Tribolium castaneum: one gene and its partner. The protein of the gene in region 1 purifies or fractionates together with the protein of each later gene. This does not show direct contact. Links are inferred from orthologs where the notes say so. Each region holds a gene or a part of one and is shown in the gene's direction. Other genes may lie near its edges.

Evidence for each region.
Region 2: the proteins of Khc (region 1) and Unc-76 purify together in Drosophila melanogaster (affinity purification with western blotting; 3 studies listed by BioGRID). This does not show direct contact. The link is inferred for Tribolium castaneum from reciprocal best matches to the Drosophila melanogaster genes Khc and Unc-76.

The regions. Positions count from the first base shown.
Region 1 is NC_087395.1:25,842,263-25,846,797, forward strand, and holds the start of Khc (kinesin heavy chain), read left to right. Parts: upstream 1-1,461; 5' UTR 1,462-1,625; coding exon 1,626-1,772; intron 1,773-4,535. Other genes in the region: sorting nexin-29, read right to left, coding at 7-142, 317-593, 640-642. UniProt on the Drosophila melanogaster protein: Kinesin is a microtubule-associated force-producing protein that may play a role in organelle transport. Milt and Miro form an essential protein complex that links Khc to mitochondria for light chain-independent, anterograde transport of mitochondria.
Region 2 is NC_087402.1:6,757,680-6,762,058, reverse strand, and holds the start of Unc-76 (fasciculation and elongation protein zeta-2), read left to right. Parts: upstream 1-1,381; 5' UTR 1,382-1,436; coding exon 1,437-1,861; intron 1,862-4,379.

The DNA.
Region 1 (4,535 bases):
ACTGACCTTTCCAGAGAACGCTCGTTCAGCGCCGCCCTGATCCACGCACGCCCGCGGCCCGTGTCAGTCCAGATATGTTTCAAAACGGCGTATCTCTCCTGCTCATGCTTCGTTAAATGCGTCCTAACAAACGGCCAAAACGCTTCAAAAAAAAAAAATCAGTTGGCAACACGTACTAACATACGGAGAGCTTAAGAGACGAAACGAGATACAAAAAAACAGTACGGCAGAGTAAAAATAAATTTTTGGACATTTTCGACCAAATTTTGTGATTTTTTCACTTGTATGTCGTTTCACATCCTAGCCAGTCACTTACAAGGGTTCTCGCCCCCTAGATGCAGACTGCTCGCCACTTGCTTCAAAGCGGAGCCTTGGGGGTTTACCCGGATTCCGTGCAGCAAAACGGCCTCGAGCGTCAAGCACAGGGCCACAACACAGCTATCAAACTCAGTCGCTAGTTCGGTTTTTCCCCCATATCGTTTTTGGCACTCTTGCACGCACTCGAGTAACTGTCGTAGGAGTTTATCAGCGGTTTCGGATTTCGGTTGATTTGCGATATTTGGCGAAATTACAGCCGACATGAGCTTCAGGGACTGAAATTTCAAGGTTTTAGGGCAATTTCAAGCAACAAAAACTCACCATAATTATAACCTTGGCCGGTCATGGCATGGGTGAATCTGACTCGAGGTGGCATAACATTGCGATAAGATGGGTTGCAGTGGGGCCCTTATCGCCAGAAACGTGATATCACAGGATTTTCGATTAAAAACACAAAACAGACACTACTGGTACAATCAGCTGATTGGGAAGTGTCAAACTGGGCTAATGTCAGCGAGTTAATTTGGCCAAAATTGGGCTGTTTTGGCTGGAAACGACTGATTTGGGGCGATTTTAGCCGAATTTTGGTTGTTTTAGACGAATTTAAGCAAAATTATGATTCTGGTTATGGGTGACATCATTCGGTCGGGTGCGGTTTCGGTAATCACTCTTGCTAATAATTATTGTCATTTTTATTATATTCACTATTTTAAATTAAACAAGAGGACGAGAAGTTGGTACAAAAAGTTCCACGGGTGTGTTGCGATATAACACTGCCAGGGTAGATTAATAAAAAATTTTGATTTAGGGGTGTTCGAATGGTCCGAAAGTGCTTCGTTCCGAATCATAGGCTGATCTATGAATTTCCGAAATTTGATAATTCACTTAATTGTTACATTGCAGTTGATTGCTATTTGTGATTATGATTAGATTTAATTGTTTATGTTTTTATGCGCCTGTTCTTATTATTTTTTCCTCAGACGTTTTGTCGAAAGTCTTTTAAATAGAAGTGTTAACAATTTTTAATAAAGCAGTTTTTCCCTAACTTTAATAAACGACTATTACTTAACGAGTGGTTAGAAAAGGGGTTTTACAAAAAATTTAAACCACTGTGTGGGGATTGGGGAAGTTCATTTCCTACGGATTGCTTGGCACCACTGCGCTAAGATGGCCGACAGTTCGATGTAGGAGGAGTTGTCATTGTTGCAAAGAACCCGCAATTTTTTATACAAATGTATCATTTATAGTTTTACTTAGTTTGTAATTAATTTATTAATTTGTGCTGTGAGTGATTAAAGTGCTTTACGATGTCGGGCGATCGGGAAATTCCAGCTGAAGACAGTATTAAAGTCGTGTGTAGGTTTCGACCCCTCAATGATTCAGAGGAGAAGGCTGGGTCGAAATTCATCGTGAAATTCCCTTCAGGAGGCGAAGATAATTGTATTTCGATAGCGGTGAGTGGAAAAACGGCCAAAACTCGCATTTTTTATCAGTGGCTTACGTCATTTCGGTTGCGCTCCACCGAGTCCACGCTAATTAGACCCCGTTTCCACCAAAAAAATCATCCCTGAGACATGAAAATCGATTCTTTGCACCGGCCATTGTCTCGAAAAATCGATTTCCGATCGACTCACCCATGCTCTCATTTTACTTTACAACAGTTGGAGAAATTAATTGGTACGGATCGCTACCATGGACCATTAAGACGTAAATTTTAACGATGGTCACAATGGGTGAACATGGTACGGGTCAGCGCATTTATTATTCTTCAAAAAAAAAAGAAAAAAAAACAATTGAAATCTGTCAATTAGAATGTCAAATGTCAAGTTTCCGCAGGAAAAATTGGACTATTGATTTTTATCACTTTATCTCTGCCGGAACGTTTAGCTAATGGAATATTTTATTGTTTAAGTGCTTCATAAAATAATAAAAATCTCGTTTTTTTGTTTAATTAAATCGCCCCCCCCCCTTTATTTGTTGTTTGTTTTGTCTGATAACTAGTTGTCAAATGAATTAAAAAGGCAAATTTTTGGTTTATTTGCTCTATAAATGCGGTTCTCGTGCATTATCCCACTTTTTACGATAACAAAGTTTAATCGGCCAATATTTGTTTTTAGTCACTGTTTTGTCTCAACAATTTTGAAACTAAAAACTAATTTACCAAGTTTGTGAACCTGCATGTCAACGTGACATTTGTCAAAATTTGATTTACTTTATTCATGACATAACTTCATCGATGATCATTTTTATCGTCAACACTCTGTATAGCAAAATTATCTAAATACAACATCAAACAATCAAGTGGTTCTTCTTTTTTTGACGTGAAAAAATTCACGTTTTTAATACTGATTATTATACGTTTTTTATTTCTTGTTGCTTTTGTAGGCTTAATAATAAATTGGTTTTAATTTTTTTATCTCGTTTTTTCTGAAATAAGTTAATAAAAAACTGCAAAAAATAAATGAATGCAACACGGAAATAATAGTATTTTTTTATTCGCGTGTACGTGACAGTTTTGCTGTCAGAATAGAATTGACAGTAATTTGATAAAAGAATCAAATAAGTTCTCTATTTCTTTGTTGCATTATCGTAATTTGTTTTTATTACAATAATCAACGCCTAATTGCCCTATAATCAGGCGAGATTAACACGGAAGCAGAGCAAAAACTGCGAATTCTAGAACACTCTCAGACAACAAAGTCGTCATTTTTGCGTATGTTTTGGCTGAGATTATCTCAGATTGTGTGTTTGTTGGGTAAAGGTTAATTAATTTCGTTAAAAAACATCGGATCGATCAAGGATAAGTCGAGAGAAGGAAATAATCCATGAGGGTGCACACGTTCACACTTTTGTTTCTGCTTGGTTTATTATTCGGATGTGCAAGAAAGCTAGAAATGCGTTCGTTCTGTGGGCGAAGAAAGCGCTAATTCGTTCGGGTGATTAATTTTGCATTGTGTTCGACTTTCCATCGTTTTAAGATTAAAAAAATTAGAGGCGTATTGCTGTAGGATTCGGTCGCGTGTTTGGTGGAAGTAGGTAGTGTTATTTTCACTATTCTATTCACAACCTACGACCAAAAGTAACCAATCGATAGTTCTTACAGAGCGTTGAACCTTTTTCTGTGATGTAATTATCTTCAAAGGGGAGGGGAAATTATTATTTCAATATTTAATAAGATAATGAGAACGTATTTTTGTCAAGCTTTTTACCTAAAGTGATCGATTAATTGTTTTGCCGTTGCTTTCGATTAACGCTGGATTGATTGCTTCGTTTTCGCGTTGTTTTTTTTTAATTTTTCAGACTTTGTTTACATTCTCTCTTTTGCGGAGTGTTCCGTTTTCTTCACAATCAATAATCAGGCTCTGCCCTTGACCGAGCGTTCGTTCTATTTAGGTCCTCTCTTCTGTTTTGCAACATTGTACACAAATCCAGGACGCGTTTTATGAATTATTTAAAAGAAATCAAATTTCAAGCTCTGATAAAAGCAATTACACCGTTGTTTTATAAATAGATGTACGGAACGATCGTATCAAAAAATCAATGTGTTGTAACTTTAAAAAATTATTTAATCTCGTTTTGCAAAGTCACGATTCTGATATTTAAGTTACAATTGCTACTGTCTGTTTTTAATCTTGCATATCTCGAAGTCTCGCCTGGTTAAGTTAATTATAAATGAGATGAATCAGGAAATAACTGTCGGTTTTATTTGTTTATTTTCGTAGAAAATTGGTCGTGACGCGTTAGAAAGTGATGTCAGGTATTAAAATAGTTTGCGATGATTTTCTGATAATAGTTTTTATGTCAATTGATAAAAACCAAGATATTTTACGATTTTTTTGCAGTTCTGGACAAATTTTGAATTTTTTCGAAAAAAAAATTTAACTTTTTAGTTTATGATCATAAGTAAAACACACTAAATGGAAAGTATAAGGTGAGTCACTGTTTTCTCTTATTAAATTTTCTAGATTTTTAGTACCTGTCACATTTATTTATAATTTAATATTCAATGCTAATAAAAAATATCCCTGTATTAAATTAAATATCGGTCAAAAGAAAAAATGCTGTGTTTTTTATTTTTAATTTTTTTAACTACTATTTAACTGAAATACAACGAAAAAAAACAGTGAAACCCGGTATTAAACCTCAATTTTTTTATAGCGACTTTCAGGAAGTCCATTTTTTACACGTTTTGTTACACTTCTTGTAAAATTATTTGA
Region 2 (4,379 bases), on another chromosome or scaffold:
GACGAACTTATAACAAAAAGTGTCTGTGGTTTTATTTTTTAAATGTTATTTATGCATCAATAACTTTTTTTTTTATTTCAATTGAAATAAATAGGCAACCAATAATACAGAATCAATAACGCAAATTGCATAACATAACACCTAATAATGGTTCATTGGCCGATTTATCCACAAATATCTGTCTTGAGGAATTCACTGATAAACAATGTCAGAAAAAATAAAGTAAATGTTTAAAAAAATCAAGTTTTAAGACGCAAGCAATATTTATCTCAACTGGTCCAGTGTTGATGCTGTACTGATGCGCACCGGAATCACACGCATCTTTGATATAGAGATGAGTACAACAGTTACATAAATCGCATATTTTATAAAAAGATTAATAACGGGACCACGAAGAGACAGTAACCCCGGTTTCGGACCAAATCATCCAAATAACTACTCACTTTTTTTGCAACTTTCTTATAATTTCATTTGAATATTTAAAAGCAAATTAGTCGGATCGGAAATTATCCAACTTTCAAATGTCAATAATCTGAGAGGGAACAATGAAAGCATAAAAATCTTTCTAGAAACTTTATTATCTTTTGTTAATGAAATATGTAATAATTCAGAGTTTATTGTTGTCAGGCGATTTCGATTAGATTAGTGCGCACTATTTCAATTTTTTTAACTATTGTCGCGGTTTACTTACACCTTATCAGTGTATTGAGCGAAAATTCCCTCTGATTCAATTTAAAATACAGTGAAACCTCTACAATGCGACCATGCTGTTTTATTCGAACCTTTTAGAAATCTTATCATTTTTTTTTCTATAGGAACACTAAGAATAATTAAGAAATTTTACAAAAAAAAATACGTTTTTAAAAAAAATTGATTTTTGTTTATAATTTCTTATATGAAGTTGAAACTGTATGTTTTTTTCAGTTTCGATATTGCAAACAATCGTTTTCTAGACCCTTTGCAATATTAGTTCGAATTTAAAAAATAGCAAAATAGTGAAAATTTCCTACAAACCAACTTAAAATATAGTGAAACCTCTACCATCCGACCAAGCTGTCGGATGCTGTTTTATTCGAAGCTTTTGCAAGTTTTATTTTCTTTCTATAGAGAAGCTAAGAATAATTGAGGATACAAAAACAAAAAAAAATATTCAAAAAAAAGTTGAATTTTGTTTATTATTTTTTATATAAAGTTACAACATTCTTTTCACACAAACGCTCAGAATATATTTTCAGTTGTTTACACATTTTAATTTCCAAACTGTAATACGTAATGTAAACAATCGACGTCTAGAGCCCCTTGCAATAAATATGTGTTCGAGTTCTCGTGGTTTTACTGTATCACGACCCGCGCCCATCTCTGCTCGAGCTTCGACAGCGGCGTCGTGGGTTTCCCGCAGTGTTGTGCAGGCTGTGAGTGTGGAGTGGTGTTTCGCGATGCGGGATTTGGCCACAAAAATGGCCGAACTAAAATTTGAAGCACCACTGGCCCAATTCGAGGAATCGGATGAATGGGGTTCGACCGAGTTTCAAAACGCCACCATAAAAAACGAGAACGAACTGAACAACATCAACCTGAACAAAAAAATCAAAGACATCAACGACGTCCTGAACGATTTCAATGAGGACATCCTCAACAATTCAAACACCGAAACCTTGCCGCCAAAAAACGTGATTTTGAAAAACGGTGAAACGGCCTCGGTGGCCGACAACTTCACCGAAACTTTCTCGGGCTCGCTTGAGGACCTCGTTAACACGTTCGATGAAAAAATCACCAAGTGCTTCGGCAACTACGAGGAGTCGGTGGAGAAGTTGGCCCCCGTCCAGGTCCGGACGCAGGAGGAGATCATGAACGAATGCCAGTAAGTGCGTTTTTTCACCAAGGTATTACCCGAATGATTTATGGTGATTTTTGAGTACCTATAACTGTATGTTTACTTTGGATTTTACTGTTAACACGCGGTTAATAGACAAGGGTTTAATTGCACCAGGGAGTTATTTAAAGACTGGAAAACGCGGTTGGAATCCGTCAAGGTGTTCCGAAATAACACCGCATTTTCCCCACAATTGATTTAGTCGAAAAAATGAATCATCCGGTGTTATCTGCGCGCTACTTGGATCAAAATAAACGTGATGCTCCATATTCCAGACAAATGAGAATATGTCACTTTTAGCATTGAAATGAAGCTAAATGGAGTCGTAGGAGTCGGTAAAATGACTCACTTTCGACCCACAATTCACAAAAAATGTTCCCAAGCTGATGAACATATGAGGAAGTCATTTCTTGACAATATTGTCAAAACAAAGCTACGTTTGTCCAACTTATCGGAACGCCCCCATGTCCAGCAAGGACAACATCTGATTAAGAAAATCAATCAAATAACATGTCCACAATATTTTGGTAAAATTGGCAACAAACTCAGTCAATCTACGCGTGCGTACTATCAAGGGATGAAAATCAATACAAGTCAGGGTGGTGTGTTGCACCCTTTCATCCCTCGAACGTAATGTCAAAATGTCCACTTTAGGAATGCTTGAGAATGAACGCCGGAAAATCGCTTATTTAAGGACTGGAAAATCAGTCCCTGGTTTGAGTCACCGACGCCGCGGCGTCGCGACGTCCCTGACTTAAACCCACCGGTCAATAATACCACATGAAAACAAAGCGTTTGGTCACTTCATTCGTACTCAGTTTTGCACATTTCCGTTAATTGAGCAAGAGTTTCCGCTTTAGAAAAATTGCTATTCTCCGTTTGCGTTTGCATGAAATTACTGCTGTGATTCACCAATGCGGGGGTACATTTGTAAAAAGTCATTAGCATGAGAAAGGGCCCCACAGTTGGGTCACTGTGACCAATTTGTGCAGGAAGCTCTAATATAAAGCTCGTGACGTCAAAAGCGAGACAGGCACCGAGGACACCGATGCGCAAACTTCATTTAGGACAAGTTACAAGACCCAAGTATGTATGTCAACGAAACATCGGGTAATTACGTGGAAAATGCCTCGAAAGGGTGAAGTTGTAGCGAGCGAAAAGCCAATTTTCTGGGTTTATGTCGCATAAAGAACAAAGTTCGATTAAATGCCGCTTAAAAATGTCTCAGGTCTCAGCTCTTTCAATCTTCAATCAAGCTTTCGTTATCTTGTCTCGCCAGAAAAATTGAAATGTTGTTTTTATTATAATGGTATAAACAGTTATTGCAAAAGATATAAATAATATAAAAAAATTGAAGTATGTCTTTAAAACACGAGCAATTTTTCGAGCACGACGGCGTACCCGGAGTGCTCGAAATAGTGCAAGTGTTTTAAAGACCAGTTATCCAGGTATACTTTACGTTATTTTGTTTATTGGTACACTTTAAAATCATAAATACTGATATTATTATTACAAAAATTGGAAATATTATAATGTGAGGTCAGTATACAAATGGAAACATACTAAAGAACGCAAGATGTTTAAAAAAGAATTTTTAAAACTGCTTCATGACAACGGATTTTATTCCGTTGACGAATTTTTATGTTCACTGTCATAATTTTTGTTATTTTCTTTGTGTTAATTTTTTCACCTTGTCTAATAAATAATAATAATAATATTACGAGTATTATCTGAAAATACAAATTTCCACCCAGAACGCATCAGCACGTCAATAAACCTAATTAAGCAGTTTGAAGTGGCACTTTCTAAAGAAATTCGAGCAGTGCAGCTACGAATTTCAATTAATCGTCACCGCCTGTGAAACCTGCCTCTCGGGAAAAATTTCACTCCAACAATGTTATGTTTACGAAAAATTGCGTTTGTTGTCAGTCTGAATAAATGTTGTACTTGCATATTTGATGAGGTGCCTTAAAACAACGTCGGAAACGTTTGGTTCATTTAACTTTCTTATCTGTTTGCGTTTGCTTTTGCCTTCTTTGAAAACTTGAGAAATATAGGTAAATAAGTGCTCGTAAATTAATCGGCAATTTTTTTTGACAGTCTGGGGTAATAAAACGTTTCGTGTAACAATCGCCCACAACATCACCCACAAGAAATTTGTCAAATTCGAGCGATTTTCTGCACAGACCGAGCTGATTTATCGCCGCTGCCAATAAACCAGATGGCATCGCTTCGTGTAAGACAAAATTTGAGAATAAAACGGTAAAGTCTAGCCGTGGACTGAAAGTTACAGCTTCCCTGACCTACAAACAGATCTTTCAGACCTGGATTGTTCAGATCGTTTGACATAATCCGTGTTTATCTCAACGAAAGGTTGTAAGACTGACATTTATGAAGTCTTTTCAGTGTCTTTGTTGGTAGTGCGTGACGTTTACACTTTGCGGGAAACACATACATATAAATTGCACGAGGAATGTTCAAGAGACGAGATTTAGAATTCCACCCG